Macaca mulatta: one gene and its partner. The protein of the gene in region 1 purifies or fractionates together with the protein of each later gene. This does not show direct contact. Links are inferred from orthologs where the notes say so. Each region holds a gene or a part of one and is shown in the gene's direction. Other genes may lie near its edges.

Region 1 (10,744 bases):
TAACTGCTTCTCACTGCATTCTGGTCAAAGCCTTAATTCCTTAGCATGGGACACAAGGCCCTTCATGATTCACTTCTTATCCACTTTTCTAAACTTATCTCTCACTGAAACCTTTGAGCTTTGGTTATACTGTATTAACTAAATTTCCTTAAATGCATGATGCTCATTTATTCCTCTAAACACTTAAACATCCTGCCTGGCTTGCCTTTCCATCTTTTCCTCTCCCTTTTAGTTAATGTCTACTTATCCTTCAAATTTCAGCCACTTCTCACATACTGTAGGAAGTCTTCTATGAACCAACATTTCTCCCTTCTCAACCCAGATTATGTAGTGTGCTGAAGAGAACCCTTACAGTTACTGAATACTGTGATGCTTTACTTGCCTCTCCTCCCACTAGACTAGGAATTGCATGATGATACACCTGGCAGAGTACCTGACATACAGGAGGCATTTAGCAATATGCTTTCCATACCTTTATTTTCAGTAGTTTTTACTACATATGCCTTCCGCACTTGTAGTTTTTTTCTAGTTTCTTCAACTGTTTCAAATTCTGGCGCATAGCACACATGAAGCAATCCACCGAAGAAACTCTGTTCATCCATTTTTCTCTTGGCTGTCCTGAATGGAAATATAAGATAGCATGGTTTTTTAATCTAGATTTACTTGGGATGAAAGCTTAACTAGTATACAATATCTGGATCTAAAGAGCAAAGTCCAACTTTTGCTATGTGTATATATATCCTGTGGATTGGCAATTAAGATGCTCTGCTTGTGGACAGTATTCATCCCATTGTTCGAGTATGTACTTAGAGCCTCCCCTTTTCTTCCCTTCGAGCCTCTTTGTTCCCTAGTCTTTAAACAACTAAAGACCCAGCTGGTTGGCCTGAAGTATATAAACTGTGGTCATAAAATAGAGCTTTTCTCTGTGGCCCTGAAGAGTTACTTCATACCCAATTAAGCTTTTTCAGCACAATGTATTTCTGTAATGGGATTCTTGCCTTAAAAATCAGATGAAAAATACTATAATCATAAAACGTTCAATAACTGAGGAACTATTAAACATATAACAATGAGAAAATGAGAAGAATGTTATTCAGTCAATAAATACTTACTAAACATCTATGATTGGCCAGGTACTACAATAAATTTAACTACTTCTGTATCCAGGGATAATGACAAATACTTGCTCAGATTTTACCATATGCCAGGCAATGTTGTAAGTGCTTCACTTGAATTAACACCTAACAACAACCCTGTAATGAAACAGAAGCACTGGGACATTACATAACTTAGCCATGCTCATACTCTGGTTTGAGGAGCAAGGATTCAAATCCAGATGTCTTACTTCAGAGCCTACTAGACTAGGTACTTTGGAAAACAGAAAAGCTCGAGAAAATATTTCTCTAACCATGACAGCTGGCAGATTGGTTAAGAAAGTGAGATTACATATAACAGCAGCCTGAGAAAACCACACATGACCCAGTAAAATCAAGTGCTTTTGTGGTAGATTATGATTTCTACTGATAGCACATGAAAGAAAATATGAATTGTAACAGCCAGAGAAGGATGGGTCTCAGAGCAGATTAGTGAGGAGAACAGAGATCAACATAAAAATAGATAAGGCATTGCATACTTCAGCCTTTTTGGAGCAGAGGGTTTATGTCACATAGAAGGCCGGAAAACACTGAGTCAATTTGCAGAAAGGAGTAACAGTAGAAACCACAATAGCTAATGCTTACTGTATTCTGACCAGGAGGCACTCTGCTAAACCCTTTATATGGATTATCTCATTTCATCCTCATACAACCTCAAGAAGTAGATAGGTCCCTTTACCATATAGATTTTACGGAACAGGAAAAACTTAAACAGGTTAAATAACTTGTCCAAGATCACAAAGCTAGTAAGCAGTGGAAATGGAAAACTTACTCCAAACCCAACATTTTTTTTTCTTTTGAGACATAGTCTCACTCCATCACCCAAGATGGAGTGCAGTGGTCCATAAATGACTCACTGCAACCTCCACCTCCTGGGCTCAACTGATTCTCCCACCTCAGCCTCCCAAGTAGCTGGGACTACAGGAATGCACTACCACGCCCACCTTGATTTTTGTATTTTTAGCAGAGGTGAGGTTTTGCCATGTTGGCCAGTCGGGTCTCGAACTCCTGGGCTCAAGCTGTCTGCCCACCTTGGCCTTCCATAGTGCTGGGATCAAATTCAACTTTTTTTTCTTTTCTTTTCTTTTTTTCTGGGACAGTCTCACTCTTTCCAGGCTGGAGTGCAATGGCATGATCTTGGCTCACTGCAACCTCTACTTTCTGGGTTCAAGTGATCCTTGTGCCTCAGCCTCCCCAGGAGCTGGGATTAAAGGCTTGCACCAACACAGCTAATTTTTGTATTTAGTAGAGTCAGGGTTTCACCATGTTGGCCAGACTGGTCTTGAACTCCTGACCTCAGGTGATCCGCCTACCTCCACCTCCCAAACTGCTGGGATTACAGGTGTGAGCCACATGCCTGGCGCCAAACCCAAATTTTTTCTGTTTTTTTTTTTTTTTTTTGAGACAGAGCCTCGCTCTGTCATCCAGGCTGGAGTGCAGTGGTGTGATTTCTGCTCACTGCAATCTCCACCTCCCGGGTTCAAGCGATTCCCATGCCTCAGCCACCTGAGTAGCTGGGACTACGGGTCTGCACCACCACACCCAGCTAATTTTTGTATTTTTAGTAGAGCCGGGGTTTCCATCATGTTGGCCAGGCTGGTCTTGAACCCCTGACCTCAAGTGATCTGCCTGCCTCGGTCTCCCAAAGTACTCTGATTACAGGCGTGAGGCGTGAGTTATTGGCGCCCAGCCCTCAAACCCATTTTTTTTTTCTTTGAGGCGGAGATCCCCTCTTGTTGCCCTGGCTGGAGTGCAATGGCGCAATCTCGGCTCACTGCAACCTCTGCCTCCTGGGTTCAAGCAATTCTCCTGCCTCAGCCTCCTGAGTAGCTGGGATTACAGGTATGCGCCACTAGACCCGGCTAATTTTGTATTTTTAGTAGAGACGGGGTTTCACCATGTTGGCCAGGCTGGTCTCAAACTCCTCACCTCGTGATCCGCCTGCCTCGGCCTCCCAGAGTGCTGTGATTGCAGGCGTAAGCCACCGTGCCTGGCCAAACCCAACTTTTACTCTACCACGCTACAGGACATTAAATTGTTAAGCATGGGATGTGATGGATACAGTGTTTCAGTAAAGTTAACCTGTAAAAAGGCTGTAGGAAGATATGCTAGATTACATTTTGGGGTAATTCAGATATGAATGAGGGAAACTTGGGGCCAAAATGACAGAAATATGAATGGAGGAAATGAAACGAGTCATTGCTTAACTTGCACCTTACCTTGCACTTTGTAAGTTCATAAATTTAATAAGATAAACTTCAGTAAAGTCTTCTGCTGGGTATTCATCTAGCGCATTGTACTGTTCAATTGCACCATATAAAGCGAATCGCTCAACTAATTCCTTCATGACTCCCACAGCAGGAACTCCTTGTATTAATAAGTACTGAGATTCCAAATTGATTGTATATACCTGAAAGAAATGCATAGTTATTAAACGTATTTCGCAAATAAGCCTAGGACGAATCTGCCTCTATTTTTTTTTTTAAACAGAACTTTGAAAACAAGAAATAATCTGTTCAACCCAGTCAGCAAAAAACACAAAATAAAATTTCTGCCATTCCCTCTGCATAAAGAGTAACAGTCCATGTGAGAGGCTACCTAAGGCATATAACAGACTACCTTCAGTCGACATTTTTTTCCAGAAATTGAGTCGGCAGAAGTCACTGGGAACAATCACTCAACGAATATTCACTGAGCGCTTACCTGTGCCAAGTAGTACTGTAAACACTGAAGATCCAATGACTAAAACCAAGCCCTATTCTCGTGGAGTTGATGTTCTAATAGTTGACCAAAAGGGTCGTGAGAATCTTTGGTACCTGGCCCAGGGTTCTTCACGCCAGCTCTAATGAGCGACAGATCTGACGGAAGCCTTGTCGTGCCTTTATTTCCGTAGGTTAGCCATATGGCGCTAGCGCTCACAAAAAGCTACCGAGGAGAGCGAATGAAACCAAAAATCACTTTACCTTGACAGCACGAGGCCGTCGTCCCTCCCGATATTTGGCCCGCGTGTCGCACACCGCCCTCTGGACGTGGTGGTCAAATAAACTCCCTAACTCCCCACCGCTGGACGCCATCTTGCCTACTTTGATCCTCGCAGGGAGGACAACATCCGCCCTGCTGACCTCCCTTTTATCCAATAAGAGAGCGGGATGAGTTAAGGAGTGTCAGGATTGGCTGAAGAATCGACAGCGTCGGCCATCGTTTCCTGCGTGCGAGGATTTGATGAACGAGGTGCCGCCCCCGAGCGGCTTGGCGGAGAGGCGCGGTGGGTGACAGAAGCTTTCTTGTCCCACCCCACTACAGGCTTACGGCGAGACGCGCAGCGGGGAGAGGGGGCGGGGCCTCAGGGGGCGGGGCCGATCGATCTCCTCCGGTTCCGACGTCCTCGGCCTGCCAGGTCCCGTGTCCTTTGCGGCGCTAGGGTGGGCAAACCCAGAGCGACGCTTCGGGACGATGTGGGGCAGCGATCGCCTGGCGGGTGCTGGGGGAGGCGGGGCGGCAGTGACTGTGGCCTTCACCAACGCTCGCGACTGCTTCCTCCACCTGCCGCGGGGTCTCGTGGCCCAGCTGCACCTGCTGCAGGTAACGTGCTGGCCCCGGGCCACCTGATCTTCAGCCTGGGGTCGGACAAGGCCGAAGCCTCTCAGGGACGCGGCGGGACACCGGCTGCCACCCGGGCGCCCCCGAAGCGTACAGAGATTAGGGTCCCTCGACGGCAGGGCCCTTCTGGTTAGTCTCTGCATCCCGCAAGTCCAGTGCAGCCCTGGGCTCGTCTTATCCCAGGTCTTTTCACTTGGTGAAACTGGGCCTAGAAATGTCCTAATATTCTACCACTGTTTTTATAAATATTCCTCATTCCAGGCTGGAAAAGTTCCTGATAAGTGGTTTGTTTTTGTTATTTTAAAAGGTGCTTTTCTTGCCAGTCATTTCCAGTTACCTGCGCTGCTGCCGTCCGGGCCGCGAGAGGGAGGCGCAGAGTTGTTGGTGGAGCCCCTGTCGGTCCCCGGGGACTGAGCACCGCGTCCCATGAGCGGGAAAGCTTAATACAGTAATGGTTCTGCCCTGCGTCCCAGACCCTCGGAACACAGCTGTAGTGTGTCAGGAACACATAACGTAGTTAAGATCACTTGAAGCTCTGCGATCAGTCGCCCTTCTGGACGTTGTGGTTGGGATGTTTCGCAGTTCTAACCACCGGTGGAGATACAGCGTCCTTATTTTCGTAATTAAAAATAGAGGCACATGGTCTCACGAGTTTGAGTGTGGTTATGGGGGCAAAAGGACGGCGTATTTGAAATCTTCATAAATCCTGGATGCATGGTACCCACCAGTGGCTAATCTATGTAATGAATAAAGAGTTTGCAATAATTTCAAGCATCCCTTCTTTCCACTTGAGTTACTTCTCCATACCTAGGGGAAGATTTTTTTGGTCCATTGAAAACATGAGTTCAGCAGAATCCTCCTATCATCGTCGTTATTATTTTTTACTACTAAGTAGACAATCTTGGTTTTTGATGGGCTTTATGGTTAGAGACAAATCAGTCACTGTCACCAAGTTCCAGGTAGAAGTTGGTTCAGTGCTCTGTCAGCTTCGATGGGATTTTTCAACATGTTTTCAAATCCACTCATGATAGTAGGAATGCTTTCTTACAGTAACTCTAATTTGATCCTAAGATGTAGTTGTTACCTTACATTCATCACTGTTTAAGAATTTAGTGGTCTTGATCTTTGTTTTAAATTTTGAGCCTTCGAGAAGTATTTATAAGAATTAATTCATGTTACCTTACATTCGTCACTATTTAAGAATTTAGTGGTCTTGATCTTGTTTTAAATTTTGAGCCTTCAAGAAGTACTTATAGGAACTAATTCATGCATATCTTTTTGAAATGTAAATGTCTTTAGCCCTGGAACAAATTGCTGTTTCTGTTCAGCCCATATTAGCAGAATAGGTCAACTTTGCTTTCTAATTATCAATGTAATAAGTTTATGACTTTATAGATTCTATAAATCTATACATTTATTTCTTGATGAATTATATAAATTTATATAATTTATGTTTTGTAGAAAATTTAGAAAGCATGGAAAATTGTTAACAGGAAAATAAATTACCCGTAATCCCAGAACTTAGAGGTGACTAATGTTGACAGTTTGGATCAAATCTTCCAGTTTTGTTTCTAATCTTCATTTTTAACAGAAATGAAGTCCTATATACACACATACAGTTTTGTGTCCTAGTGTTTTTACTTAATGTTATTATGAGTGTTTTATTTTGTTAAAAGGTCATCTTTTTAAGTTGTTAATTAGTATTCTAGCACAAATTTGCCATAATTTATTTAACTGTTCACTATGATTGACTATTTAGATTGTACTTAATTTTTAGGCATTAGAAGTGATAAACTATATTTTAATCAAACGTTGAAAATAACACATCTTTGTTTAGAAAACATCATTTTTATTTCTTGTTGTCTAGGATAGATTCCCAGAATTCTTGGGTTAGAGGCCATAGATAATTATGAAAGCCGAAAGGTTCACAAATTGGGAGTTAATACTTGAATTATTTTATTTGGGGTGAAACATTGAGTACATAATACAGATCATGCAGTAATGGGAAGAGGGGTTGGAACAATGGTTTTCTGGCTTATGTCAGACTTACCTTGAAGCTTTTAAGAATACAGATGTTCTGTTGGGAGGCCAAGACGTGCGGATCACGAGGTCAGGAGATCAAGACCATCCTGGCTAACACGCTGAAACCCCGTCTCTACTAAAACTACAAAAAAAAAAAAATTAGCTGGGCGTGGTGGCGAGCGCCTCTAGTCCCAGCTACACGGGAGGCTGAGGCAGGAGAATGGCGTGAACCCAGGGGGCGGAGCTTGCAGTGAGCCGAGATCGCGCCACTGCACTCCAGCCTGGGCGACAGAGTGAGACTCCGTCTCAAAAAAAAAAAAAAAAAAAAAAGAATACAGATGTTGTGATCAACCCTCTGACCTATTAAATCAAAATCTTAGGGAATAGACTTTAGGCATCTCTAATTTTAAAAAATTTATTCAGGCTACTTGGATGCACAAAAGAGTTGAGACCTACTGTCCTAGAATCATAGAATGTTAATGACCATAGAGACCTTAAGCATCTAGGTTGTTTCTGTACGTTTACACGTAAGGAAAATGGCATTCCTAGGCCAGTACCATTGCCATGCAGCTAATTTGCCCTCTTGTCTATAGCTCACTCTGCGTCACCCAACCTACCCTTCTCACCGTTTCTTCTATAACCAATCTCCTTCCCACTTCTGTTCTCTTACTCATGCCATTCTTCCCTCAGTCGTTTTTCTTCCTTCCATACAAATTCCATGTCTTTGAAAAGAGTATAATCCTACCTCCTCCACATAGCTTTCCAGTTCTCTGTTGCCCACGTTTGTCTCCCTTTCAATACTTCTCTATTGTGTTACGTGACACATCACATTTGATATACTTTGTTCTATGTTTCAAGTATTGTATTCTCTTGTTTACTCAAGTCATTATTTCAGGACTGACTCCCCAGTAGATGCTTGAAGTCAGGATTTCTCAACCTTGGCACTGTTGACATTTTGAGCTGGATAATTTTTTGTTTTGGGGGCTCTCCTGTACATTTTAAATGTTTAACAGCACCCTTGGTCTCTATCCAGTAGATGCCTGTACTGCCTCCCCCTATTTGTGACAACCAGAAAGGTCTTCAGACATTGTCAGATGCCTACTGAAGGACAAAATCACCTCTGGTTGAGACCACTGCTTCAGCTAAGTTACCTTCTCTGTACTCAGAACTTGATGTGATTGCAACAGAGAGAGAGGATTCATATACACAGTGAATGCAAACGAACCTAAATCACCGTTCGGATATGGCCACACAATTTTCATTTCCCTTGTGTTAGCAAGAGATACCCCAGGCTTTGGACCTGGACATTCCTAAGGCATTCTGACGGATGGTTTTACCTGCAGATTTCCTGGTAATACTGATACCTCAGTTTGGGTCAAAGAAGGTCAATTAATTGATTGATTTGATTTGACTCCTGGGAAAGAGGCTCCTTTCTAGCTGTCTCTTTCTTCTCTTTACCTGAATAGCCAGGGCTCTGTGGTTCAAGTGAAGTATTTTGACATAAAAATTAGAACATTGGTGTGCAAAGTTTGCTAAATCTAACTGAGTACATATTATGACTTTATGGAGCTGGTTACTCCTTTTTGACCAAATAAATAATTAGAAGTATTTTTCCTCCTCAATAATGTTCATTTCTCCTTTTTTTCAGTGAGCTGGTAGAGTTTCCTTTTTTTGATATTTCAGGGCATCTCTCGTATTTCCATCTCTTAAGTTTCTTCATATGAAGTAGAATTGATCTGGATTATGTATTGCTGACTCGGATGAAAACCCACAGAAAGTATCTGGGACTTGATCACCTTCATTCTTGTAATAGCTCACACAGTTACAGCTGACATAGTAACTGAAGACTTTTGATTCCAAAGCTAGGCAAAATACACTCAGTTGAAAGAATTTGTCAGCCAGAACAGTTGGACTGTTTTGTGAAAATTGTGAGAAAAATTACACAACTAAGTGATACATGATGATGGCTTTCTTAAATATAAAAGTGTAATAATGTGTTTAATTTCCAGTACGTGATATTGTCCCAGAAGTGACTCCAACATTGTTTGAAATTTGTCTCATATAAAGAAACATAAACTGGCTGCGGTGGCTCATATCTGTAATCCCAGTACTGTAGGAGGCAGAGGTGGGCATTTCACCTGAGGTCAGGAGTTTGAGACCAGCCTGGCCAACATGGTGAAACCCCGTCTCTACTAAAAATACAAAAATTAGTTGGGCATGGTGGTGGGGGCCTGTAGTCCCAGCTACTTGGGAGGCTGAGGCAGGAGAATTGCTCAAATCTGGAAGGCGGAGGTTGCAGTGAGCCGAGATTGCACCACTGCCTTCCAGCCTGGGTGACACAGCGAGACTCCGTCTCAAAAAAAAAAAAAAAGAAACACAAGAAACATAAAGACTGGGCGTGTTGGCTCATGCCTGTAATCCCAGCACTTTGAGAGATTGAGGACTGAGGTGGGAAGATCACTTGAGCCCAGGAGGTTGAGGCTGCAGTGAGCTGTGATTGTGCCACTGCACTCGAGCCTGGGCAACACAGTGAGATCCTGTCTCAGGAAAAAAAATTCCATGTAAATGAAAGAATTTGATATTTTAAATTAATGAAAAATGTTCTGTAGAGATATAGATCTTGCCATGTTGCCCAGGCTGGCTTTGGACTTCTGGGCTCAAACAGTCCTCCTGTCTTAGCCTCCCAAAGTATAAAGATTACACATGTGAGCCACTGCGCCTGGCCTAATATTTTTAACTTAATGAATTTATTTTGATATAAATAAATTAATAACACTGAAGCTTCCTGATATAATAAGTCTTTTTGTGTGTGTGATGGGTTCTTACTCTGTTGCCCACGCTGGAGTGTAATGGCACTATCATGACTCACTGTAGCCTCAACCTTCCTGACTCAAGTGATCCTCCCACCTTGGCTTCCCAAGTAGATGGGACCACAGGTGTATGCCACCACACCTGGCTGGTTTTTAAAATTTATTATTGATACATATTAATAAAATTCTTTTTATTTTATAAATGATATATGTGGCTGGGCATGGTGGCTCAAGCCCCCGACAGTTTGGGAGGCCGAGGTGGGAGGATCACTTGAGGCCAGGAGCTTAAGACCAGCCTAAGCAACATAGTGAGATCCCATCTCTATAGAAAAAAAAAAATTAGCTAGGTGTGGTGGTGTATGCCTGTATTCCTAGCTACTCAGGAGCCTGAGGTGAGAGGATTGCTAGAGCCCAGGAGTTTCAAGTTACAGTGACCTATGATTGTGCCACTGCACTCCAGCCTGGGCAACAGAGCAAAATCCTGTCTCCAAAAAAAAAAAAAAAAGTTTGAAAATGCTTATGATGCAATATAAGTAGGGGAAAAGGATATTAAATTGTGCCTATATGAACACAACTATATGAAAAACTTGCACATAGAAAAAAGGATTAACAAGAAATAGACCAAATTGTTCACATGGTTGTCTTTTTTGTGGAGAGAATATCAGTAGTTCATTTGTTTCCTTCCAAGTTTATATATTTTCCAAGGTCTCTATAATGAGTTTGTAATTGTTTAATCATAGAAAACCCTTTTTTGGTCCTTGGCCACAAACACAGGTTTTATGTAATTGCTCTTTTAATGAGAATAAATGTTATATTTTGCTTTGTTTAAAACCTATATTCCCATAGTTATATGAGCCCTTAAAATTATTAAGAGGCTGCATAATATAATGTTTCTGGAAGGGTACAGAAGAAACAGCAGTAATTACCTCTGAGAACAGGGACATGGCTTCACATTTTACCCTTACATTTTACCCTTTTGTACATCTTGTGCTTTTGCCACATGCATTTATTGTTATTCCAATAAATAAGTAAATATGGATTGCATACTCCATCTGGTTGGTGTTTCATAATTCTAAAACTATATTGCTACATTTTTAAAGATGATATATGTTTCTACTTATTAACTTATGTTAAACTAGTAAATTTATAGCTTATTTA
Region 2 (10,788 bases), on another chromosome or scaffold:
GTGATCTGCCCGCCTCAGCCTCCCAAAGTGCTGGGATAACAGGCATGAGCCACCGTGCCCGGCCGAAATTCTTTCTTCTTTCTTGCCTTACATCAGCCTGAACAAGTCCGTGATTGACAAGTGTTCAGTGGACTGTCACATGGTTTCTTCTGCTCTTCACAGCCACCCTATGCAGCAGGTGTTAGTATTAGTGTCCTCAGACGAGACGACTGAGGCACATAGAAATCTGGTGACTTTCTAGAGGTCACCTGGCTTTGTCACTGAAGGAACCAGGATTTTTATTCTTTTTTTTTTTTGAGACGGAGTCTTGCTCTGTAGCCCAGGCTGGAGTGCAGTGGCTGGATCTCAGCTCACTGCAAGCTCTGCCTCCCGGGTTCACGCCATTCTCCGGCCTCAGCCTCCCGAGTAGCTGGGATTACAGGCGCTGCCACCTCGCCCGGCTATTTTTTGTATTTCTTAGTAGAGACGGGGTTTCACCGTGTTAGCCAGGATGGTCTCGATCTCCTGACCTCGTGATCCGCCCATCTCGGCCTCCCAAAGTGCTGGGATTACAGGCTTGAGCCACCGCGCCCGGCCAGGATTTTTATTCTTTAAAAATTTTTATTTATTTTCTTTGAGGCAAGGTCTCACTCTGTCTCCCAGGCTGGAGTGCAGTGGTGTGATCTCAGCTCACTGCAGCCTCAACCTCCTGGGCTCAAGTCATCCTCTCACCTCAGCCTTCTGCGCAGTTGAGACTATAGGCATGCGCCACCACGCCTGGCTAATTTTTGTAATTTTTGTAGAGACAGGGTTTCACCATGTTGCCCAGGCTGGTCTTGAACTCCTGAGCTCAAGCAATCCTCCCACCTCGGCCTCCCAAAGTGCTGGGATTACAGGCATGAACCACTGTGCCCCACCTGAAGGAACCAGGATTCTAACTGTGCCTGTCATCTCCAGTCCAGTGTGCTTTCTGTTACAAGAACAACAATTCATCCCCTGCGGCAGCAGGCTGAACAAATCTGCTTCCTCAGATGAAGGAGCCACACTGAGCCCTCTGCCGAATAGAAGGAACAACCCCAAATTCCAGAGCCTAGGGAGGGCTAGGGAAGGGGTCGCAACGAGGATACCGGCATCTCAGGTGCTCTGCTAGTTTTCCCAAAACGAAGCAATTCAAACAAGACATTTTTTTTTTTTTTTTTTTTTTTTGAGACGGAGTCTTGCTCTGTCGCCCAGGCTGGAGCGCAGTGGCCGGATCTCCACTCACTGCAAGCTCCGCCTCCTGAGTTCATGCCATTCTCCTGCTTCAGCTTCCTGAGTAGCTGGGACTACAGGCGCCCGCCACCACGCCCGGCTAATTTTTTTGTATTTTTAGTAGAGATGGGGTTTCACCATGTTAGCCAATATGGTCTCGATCTCCTGACCTCGTGATCCGCCCGCCTTGGCCTCCCAAAGTGCTGGGATTACAGGCGTGAGCAACAATACAAATATTAATATGGGCCTGGCCTTAAACATCTGAAAGGGCTGTCCTTAGTTCCACTGTTTTTTATCTCAAGGATGAGGAAATGAGAGAAGAAGAGGTGATTTCAAAGGCTGTCCCATGAGCCCCAACTTAGAGAGAGAAGGTTGGCTAAGTAAAGACAATACCCATTCACGTTCCCCCAGGGGGAATGAATTCGCTTCTGTTTAGCATTTCTGTGTCTTTGCTTGAGAAATTCTAGGTACTTGTAGACACAGAGGAGATGATGTATCCCAATGGATGTGTGTTGAGGAATCCATTTGTGGGCATAATAGTGCTAAACAGTGGTTACATACGGACAGATACGAAGCCCGGGAATAGTTGAAAATTGGGTGAATCAGAAGTGGAATACAATCATATTTTTACATGGTTTCTAGCTCTCCTCTCTCCTGCCTTAAATATCTTGACCTCATTCTGGCTGTCTCACTACTAAATAGGCAAATTTACTTTTAGCAAGGCTGCTTCTTTTAAGACTGTGTGTCCATCTCCTGGACAAATTTGGAATAGCAAGAAATTTGTTAGGAATTAAGGAAAGGGACTTTCCCAGGCAGCAGCCACTTAGGGCTGGCCGATTCTGAGCATGTTCCGTCTTCCCAGGCCTGGCTCACAGTTTTCAGTGCTTAACGCGCATGGCGCTTTGTGCGCAATTTCACTTAATTCTTCCCTCAGCCATCGGGAGCTAAGGACAAACTGTTATCCCAATTGTACAGGTGAGGAAATCGGAGCTCATTTAAATAAATTGCCGAGGTCACACAACTAGTAAGTGACAAAATCTCAGTCAAACCGAGGCTCTTTTGGCTCAAAGGCGTGTATTGAGCCCTACTCTGCTCTGCAGGGACAGAACTAAGTATGTTTTCTATTCAGGGCATGCACAGTCATTCCATGAGTGAGTTACACAATGTAAGATAAGGACATTGTGAAAAACAAAACTATACCATACATAATGCACTTTATAATAAAGTACTGGGAACAGAGTATGTGGTAAATTGTAACTATAATAATAATTTTAAACAGATCCACTAATCACACATTATTATATTCTGTTTCACTCGGGCTTTGCCTTGCTTCCCACTTTTGTACTAGGTCCTCTTGGCTTTAGTTTCTCCCCAGTTCTCTACCCTTTGAACTCTCTCCAAAGCTTCCCTAGAATTTTTGCTGTCCTAGAAATTAGACAGGCACCTGCTCACATCATACATCCCCTACCCTTGTCACCAGACATACACACATCCATCTTCTGGGCTTTCTGTTCTCTTGCGGAAAAGTCTGCAGGGGAAGCTGAGGCAGAACCAAGTCCACCAGATTCCGAGGAAAGATAAGTATGGACTCTGTAACCAGATAAAAGTGAAGCCACAACTTCACTTATTCCACAAATACTTTTTGACTACCTATAGATGGCACGCACTGTTCAAGGCGCTGAGGTTCCCACAGTGACAAAAGAGACAAAAACGTCTGCCTTTGTGAGTTTGTATCATAGTGGAAGGAAACAGACAAAAAAAGTAAGTAAAATATAGACACTGGTATGTAGATGGTGATAAACGATAACGAGAAATATAAAATAAGGACAGATTGGAAGTGACAACAGTGGGGAGGTAGAATTGGTATCTGCATTTAACGTTTTCTAACAACAAATCCAGGGTGGGGTACAAAGCAGTGAGAAAATGAGGCCCTTATGCTCAGCGCCCCCAACCCTGCGTCGGTGGGGTCACTATTCACTTTGGAACACTGCCCTTGGGACCAACATATTCTCAGTGATCCTTGTGAAGGTTTCCACCCTAAGTCCCTCATCCTCACCAGGCAATATTTATTCTCCCAAAGCAAACTATGGAGGCAACGCGGAGAAAGTGTGAATTAATTCAAGACTAAGGTTGCCAAAATGTGTGATCAGCTCTGCCTCAGCCTTGACATTACATTACAGATTCCCTGATCGCCGCCGTCGCAGAAGCTCTGAATTGGAAGCGTGCATGTATTTGCAAATCCATTGCTGGCATTTCTTCCGTTAGCCTCCGCTGGAACTGGTTAGTGAAGATCCCTCCATTTCACAAGACAGCTTCAGTTTTGTTTTGTTTTGACTTCCCCACTCCGAAGCTGTAGCGCACTTTGTTTTCTCACGGAACAGGGGCGGCTTCCGGGGCGCGGCGTGCTGGGGGTTGTAGTCCACAATCTCCCGCCTGTTTCCGTTATAGAAGCCGATGGGCCGGGAGCTGCGGAACTACAACTCCTAGAGTACCCCGCGCCGCTGGGACGCCGTGCGGCTGCGGGGCGGGGCGAGCGCAAAGATGTCCGCGCCCGCTGCTGGGAGGCGAGGTGAGAGTGTTTGACCGTAACCAGGCGCCCGGAGCTGAGGCAGTTCCTGCACGTGTCGCGGGGCCGGAGACGCTAGGGCCAGGTATTCCAAGGATGCAAGAATCCTGCAAATTCGACATGTAAACTGCTTCCTCAGCCTCCAGGCGAGCCCTGCCTTTGCCTCAGGCCCCTTCCTTTTCCTTCTCGGGGAATCGACCTCGGGAAGGGGTGTGGGCAGAGATGAGGACTCTCCCTTTTCGCCCAGGCCAACTCGGGATATCCCGGAGCCTCTGGGGAGGCGGTCACTCCGACGTCTGAGGACCTGGGCCTTGGGCCCGGACTCGTTATGAAGAGCGACTGCTCGACCTCTGCAGCCCCCTTCAGGGGGCTTGGGGGACCTCTGCGCAGCAGCGAGCCGGTGCGCGCGGCCCCGGCCCGGTCGCCGGCCGTGGACCTTCTGGAGGAGGCGGCCGACCTCCTGGTGGTGCACCTGGACTTCCGGGCGGCGCTGGAGACCTGCGAGCGGGCCTGGCAGAGTCTGGCCAACCACGCCCTGCCAGAGGAACCCGCGGGCACGTACGTGCTGGGCTCGGAAATGAACCGATTTCCGGGTGCTCTTATGGTGGGGCCCAAGGTCTCAGGAGTTCTGTCATTCCCAGATTGCCCACAAGGAGCTTTACACCTCGCTTTCATCAGTGGTTTGTCTCCGACAGGGTGGTTGCTCATCGTGTGCCAATTCTACAGAGGAGGGAAGTCGTATAACAAGAGCTTAGTGGCGAACCCACGGCCAATTATTTGCTCCTTGTTCCAGGGTAGAATGGCATGATGCGAAGGCTGAATGTGTATTAAGTGCTAAGTTCTGTCAGTAAGCAGGTGGTAAAAGTCCTCTCCCAGGTACCTCCGCCCCGCCCCGCCCCGCCCCGCCCAAGGTTGTTTATTCCTGACCTTGCGGATGATGGGGAATGGGGGTCATGGCAGGAGCAGTGTTCTGGTCCAATTGGAAGAATGGATTAAATAATTAATTCAGGGCCGGGCGCGCGGGGGCTTACGCCTGTAATCCCAGCACTTTGGGAGGCCGAGGCAGGAGGATTGCTTGAACCCAGGAGTTCGAGACCAGCCTGGGTAACATAATGAGCCCTCTTCTCTAGCACAAAGAAGAAAAAGAAAAGAATCCGGAGAAAAAAACCTTGGGCTTGCATTGCTCTTTCTAGTGCCACCAGCCTTGTCTGGCAGGTGAGAGCGTCATTTCTTTGCATTGTAAAGTTGGGTTAGGCCACTCCAGGGAGGTGTTAGGTAGAATAGCGAAAGCTGACCGCAGAGAAGGATGATCTGGAGAGCCCTGGCTGTGTTTTAGGGTACTGGGTGGAAGCTCATTTCAGTGAATGCAGAAGGCTTTGCTTCTCGGTGTCTGGAGGAACCTTACTAGGTGGTGTCTTTTAGCCAGCTGTGGAGTTGCTATACCTCCATTCAGCCAGAAACCTTGCTGCAAGCCCATTTGTTCACTGAGCAAACTTAGTTCCAGCTCTTTTTTGTCCCACACACCGGTGATGCGTGTTATTTCCCCCTCAGGATTACCCTTCCTCTTCATTTAAATCTGATTTCACTTGGATACAAAGAAGAACGTTGAGCAATAGCTGACTTGCCTCTTAAGAGGTTTACAGGAACTTTTAGTTCCTGGGGGAAAGGGCAGCCCATGAGACCAATTGTGAAGCCCATCTAAGTACTAACAGGGATGAGAGAGATGATGGCTGCTGAGTTGGGAGCTGGAGAGGAACAGTCCCAAGGTGGAGGTGGGCATGGAAATGGAGGGGAACCACTTCTAACTGAAATTGGTTTTTCTGCTGACAGCTCCTTGGAGGTGAAGTGCTCCCTGTGTGTTGTGGGGATCCAGGCCCTGGCAGAAATGGATCGGTGGCAAGAAGTCCTCTCCTGGGTCCTTCAGTATTACCAGGTCCCTGAAAAGCTACCCCCCAAAGTCCTGGAGCTGTGGTGAGTCGTCTTTGCTGACTCATCAGATCATTTCAGAAACAAGAGGATTTGCATCTCCTCTCCGCAATCTGGGCCTAATACCTACTCTTTTCCCCTTCCCTACTATTGCCCTCCACATCTAATTCTTTCCCTTCACTTCTTCTTTTTTTCCTAGAGTTCCATACATAGCAATAAAGAATAAGGGAGGAGGAATTTAGGAGTAGAATAGATATAAAGAAGGGAGGGGACAGGGAATAGGAGTGACATGGGATGACAGAGTGGACCGAGCTGAAAGAGCAGCTTGCTACATCCTGGGAATTTCTAATTCTTAAAAAAAAAAGTTTTTTTGTTTTGTTTTGTTTTTTGTTTTTTTGAGATGGAGTCTCCCTGTGTTACCCAAGCTGGAGTGCAGTGGCGTGATCTCAGCTCACTGCAAGCTCAGCTTCCTGGGTTCACGCCATTTTCCTGCCTCAGCCTCCCAAGTAGCTGGGACTACAGGTACCTGCCACCATGCCCGGCTAATTTTTTTGTATTTTTAGTAGAGATGGGGTTTCACCGTGTTAGCCAGGACGTTCTCGATCTCCTCGGCCTCCCAAAGTGCTGGGATTACAGGTGTGAGCCACCATACCTGGCCAAAAAAAGCAAAGTTTTAAAAATTGACACTTGTAATTGTACATATTTTTGGGGTAAGTTTGACATTTCAATATATGCTGTGTATATGTTGTATAATGATCAAATCAGGGTAATTGGGATATCCATCACCTCATGCATTTATCATTTGTTTGTGATCAGAACATTCAAAAGCCTCTTTTCCAGCTATTTTGTAATATGCAATACCTTACTGTTAACTATAACCACCCTACTATGCAATAGAACACCACATCTTATTCCTCCTATCCCATCGTAACTTTGAACCCATTGACAAACCTCTTTGTCTCCCTTTTCTTCCTTTCCCAGTCTCTGGTAACCACTGTTCTACTCTCTGCTTCTATAATATCAACTTTTTTTTTTTTTTAAAGATTCACATGAGTGAAATCGTGTAGTATTTATCTTTCTCTGCCCGGCTTATTTCACTTAACCCGATGTCCCCCAGGTCCACCTGCGTTGTCATGAATGAAAAGATTTCATTCTTTTTCATGGCTGTATAGTATTCCATTACACACACACACACACACACACACACACACACACACACACACACACTCTCTTTATCCATTCATCTATTGTTGGACACTTAGACTGATTCCATATCTTGGCCATTGTGAACAGTGCTGCATTAAACATGGGAGATAATGGATTGCTAGATCATGTGGTAGTTCTATTTTTGTTTTGTTCACCTGGCCATTCTTTTTTTTTTTTTTTTTTGAGACGGAGTCTCGCTCTGTCGCCCAGGCTGGAGTGCAGTGGCCGGATCTCAGCTCACTGCAAGCTCCGCCTCCCGGGTACACGCCATCTCCTGCCTCAGCCTCCCGAGTAGCTGGGACTACAGGCGCCCGCCACCTCGCCTGGCTAGTTTTTTGTATTTTTTAGTAGAGACGGGGTTTCACCGTGTTAACCAGGATGGTCTCGATCTCCTGACCTCGTGATCCACCCGTCTCGGCCTCCCAAAGTGCTGGGATTACAGGCTTGAGCCACCGCGCCCGGCCACCTGGCCATTCTTGAGTTTATTTTGATGACACTCGGTGAGAGTTCCCTGTACCTAGAAGAAGGTGTTGGGACTCTTGGTGTTGAATGTGGCTTGTGCTGAAGACACAGGACCTGGTAGGGCAGCAAGAACTTGATCTCGGAATTGTGGAACTGCTTGACTGTCGGCCGGGGGCACTTGCTGGCTGCAATCTCCTCCACTTTCATGATCCAGATGGTGTAGGCCCTGGTCATGGTGCCAGGTGCCCATCTTGGTAGCACTGGGTGGTCAGGTCCCACTATTCTGCATTCATATTGTGGATGCTGCAGTAAGCGTCATAGTGTAGCCAAATGCCAAAGTTCTTCACTTGCAGGGGGATTTTTGGAACACCTGCCCAGTAGACACTTGCCCCTGAAGACTTCATCTTCTTTTTTTGTTTTGAGATGGAGTCTTGCACTGTTGCCCGGGCTGCGGCTCACTGCAACCTCTGCCTCCTGGGTTCAAGCAATTCTCCTGCCTTAGCCTCCCTAGTAGCTGGGATTACAGGTGCTCGCCACCATGCCTGGCTAATTTTTTGCATTTTTAGTAGAGACGGGGTTTCACTATGTTGGTCAGGCTGGTCTCGAACTCCCTACCTCATGATCCACCCACCTTGGCCTCCCAAAGTGCTGGGACTACAGGCGTGAGCCACCACGCCCGGCCAAGACTTGATCTTCTTTAGTTGAGATACAAAGTACCAGAAGCGGGACTTGGCAACAACTTGCTTAGGTGCAGAGATTTGCTGGCAGTAGAAGGGCAGCATTTGGGGGTGAACAGGCGGCAGATACTCTTGCAGTGTGCCCAAGGCCTTCATGGCATTCTCTCAGCACTTGCCACCACTTGCAAAAGGAAGTGCCGTCTTTCCTATTTTGAATTTTTTAAAGGAACCTGCATTCTGGTTTCCATAATGGCTATACCAATTTACAGTCCTATTAGCAGTGTGTAAGTGCTCCCTTTCTCCACATCCGCACCCTCACCAACACTGATTTTCTTTTGCCTTTTTAATAAGAGCTGTTCTACCTGGAGCGAGGTAGTGTCTCAGTGTGGTTTTGATTGGCATTTCCCTGGTGATTAGTGGTGTTGAACATTTTTTCAGATACCTGTTGGCCGTGGTACATCTTCTTCTGAGAAATGAGAAATGTCTATTGAGGTCTTTTTCCCTTTTGAATCAGGTTTTTTTTTTTTTTTCCTGCTGTTAAGTTCCTGATATATTCTGGATATTAACTCTTTGTCAGATGGATAGTTTGCAAATATTTTCTCCCATTCTGTAGGTTGTTTCTTCACTCTTAATTGCTTCCTTTGCTATGCAGAAGTTTTTAGTTTGATGTAATTTCATTTGTCCATTTTTGCTTTTCTTACCAGTGCTTTTAAGGTCTTACTTTAAAAAACCCTTGCTCAGCCCAGGGTTGTGAGGCATTTCTCCTTTGCTTTCTTCTAGCAGTTTCATAGTTTCGGATTTTACACTTCAGTCTTGAATCCATTTTGAGTTAATTTTTGTGTGTGGGGAAAGGTAGGGGTCTGGTCTCCTGCATAAGGATATCTGATTTTCCCAGCACCATTTATTGAAGAGACTGTCTACGCTGTGTGTGTTCTTGGCACCTTTGTTGCAAATCAGTTGGCTGTAGGTGCATGAATTTATTTCTGGGCTCTCTGTTCTGTTCTATTTTGTCTGTTTTTATGCCATACCATGAGAGCAGAACCATTCTGTTGTGGTTACTATTATAGCTTTGTGTAGTATAGTTTGAAGTCAGGTAATATGATACCTCCAGCTTTGTTCTTTTTGCCCACAACTGCTTTAGCCATTTGGGGTCTTTTGTGGTTCCATAAGAATTTCGGGATTTTTGTTTCTTTCTCTTTTTTTTTTTTTTTTTTTTTTGTGAGACAGAGTCTTGCTGTGTCGCTCAGGCTGGACTGCAGTGGCGTGATCTCAGTTCACTGCAAGCTCTGCCTCCCAGGTTCACACCTTTCTCCTGCCTCAGCCTCCCAAGTAGCTGGGACTACAGGTGCCCGTCACCATGCCTGGCTAATTTTTTTGTATTTTTAGTAGAGACGGGGTTTCACCGTGTTAGCCACAATGGTCTCAATCTCCTGACCCCATGATCCGCCTGCCTCGGCCTCCCAAAGTGCTGGGATTACAGGTGTGAGCCACCGCGCCTGGCCAGGATTGTTTTTTCTATTTCTGTGAAGAATGCCATTGGTGTTTTGATAGAGATTGCATTAAATCTGTAGATGGCTTTGGGTATTTTAATAATATTCTTCCAATTTGTGAATGGACACAGGATATCGTTCCATTTTTTTGTGTCCCCTTCAACTTCTTTCATCAGGTTTTATAGTCTTCAGTGTAGAGATCTTTTACCACCTTGGTTTAATTTATTCCTAGGTATTTTTTTTTTGGTAGCTATTGTAAATGGAATTGTTTTCTTGGTCTCTTTTCCAGTGGTATATAAATGCTGTTTTTTTGTACGTTGATTTTTGTATCCCACAACTTTACTGAATCCGTTCATTAGTTCTCTCTTTTGGAGGAGTCTTTAGGGTTTTCCGTATATAAGATCTTATTATCTGCAGACAGGGATAATTTTACTTCCTCCTTTCCGATTTGGATACCTTTTATTTCTTTCTGTTGCCTGATTGCTCTGGCTGTGACCTCCAGTACTCTGTTGAATAAAAAACGGTCAAAGTAGCCATCTTTGTCTTGCTCCTGATCCTAGAGGCAAGGCTTTCCGCTTCCCATTGAGTATGCTGTTAGTGATGGGTGTGTCCTGGCAAATTCCCATTAGCATCCACATTTCATCGGAAAGGGCTGGAGGGCACAGTGAGGAGGGGTTGGATAGGAGAAGCATAGTGGTCATGAGAAATGAACCAGTCATTGAGCACTGACTCTAATTTTGTTGGGATCGGGTTTTTGGGGACTGCAGCATTCTTTTATACAGCAAAATGCAAGAGCCTAGAGCTGTGCTGGATGTGGTGGGTGCCTGGCTCCAAGACCCAGCCAACCAAGACCTTCCAGAATATGGAGCCTTGGCAGAATTTCACGTGCAGCGGGTGCTGCTGCCTCTGGGCTGCTTGTCGGAGGCTGAGGAGCTAGTGGTGGGCTCTGCAGCTTTCGGTGAGGAGCGGCGACTGGATGTACTTCAGGCCATTCACACAGCGAGGCAGCAGCAGCAACAGGAACACTCAGGCTCTGAGGAGGCCCAGAAGCCAAACGAGGAAGGTAGGACATTATCCCTTTGTGGCCTCTGTAAAGTGGACTTGTGGCCTTGCACTGTACCTCAGGGTCCATCGTGAAACTCCTGGGAGCTTAGGAGCAGTTCTTTGTATAAATAATTCTTGAATCACAGAATAGGAGGCCTGTTGAGTTGCTTAACAAAGTGAAGCCCAG

What was found. Proteins that work in one complex are often made in the same cells at the same time.
Region 2: the proteins of PEX1 (region 1) and PEX26 purify together in Homo sapiens (affinity purification with western blotting; 3 studies listed by BioGRID and IntAct, with this or other methods). This does not show direct contact. The link is inferred for Macaca mulatta from reciprocal best matches to the Homo sapiens genes PEX1 and PEX26.

Annotation. Positions count from the first base shown.
Region 1 is NC_133408.1:126,861,386-126,872,129, forward strand, and holds the start of PEX1 (peroxisomal ATPase PEX1), read left to right. Parts: upstream 1-4,582; 5' UTR 4,583-4,607; coding exon 4,608-4,736; intron 4,737-7,809; exon of another isoform or gene 7,810-8,103; coding exon of another isoform or gene 8,104-8,127; intron 8,128-10,744. Other genes in the region: RBM48 (RNA-binding protein 48), read right to left, coding at 473-618, 3,374-3,564, 4,118-4,228. UniProt on the Homo sapiens protein: Component of the PEX1-PEX6 AAA ATPase complex, a protein dislocase complex that mediates the ATP-dependent extraction of the PEX5 receptor from peroxisomal membranes, an essential step for PEX5 recycling.
Region 2 is NC_133415.1:33,993,675-34,004,462, reverse strand, and holds the start of PEX26 (peroxisome assembly protein 26), read left to right. Parts: upstream 1-3,752; 5' UTR 3,753-4,124; coding exon 4,125-4,354; intron 4,355-5,626; coding exon 5,627-5,767; intron 5,768-10,324; coding exon 10,325-10,620; exon of another isoform or gene 10,621-10,673; intron 10,674-10,788. UniProt on the Homo sapiens protein: Peroxisomal docking factor that anchors PEX1 and PEX6 to peroxisome membranes. PEX26 is therefore required for the formation of the PEX1-PEX6 AAA ATPase complex, a complex that mediates the extraction of the PEX5 receptor from peroxisomal membrane.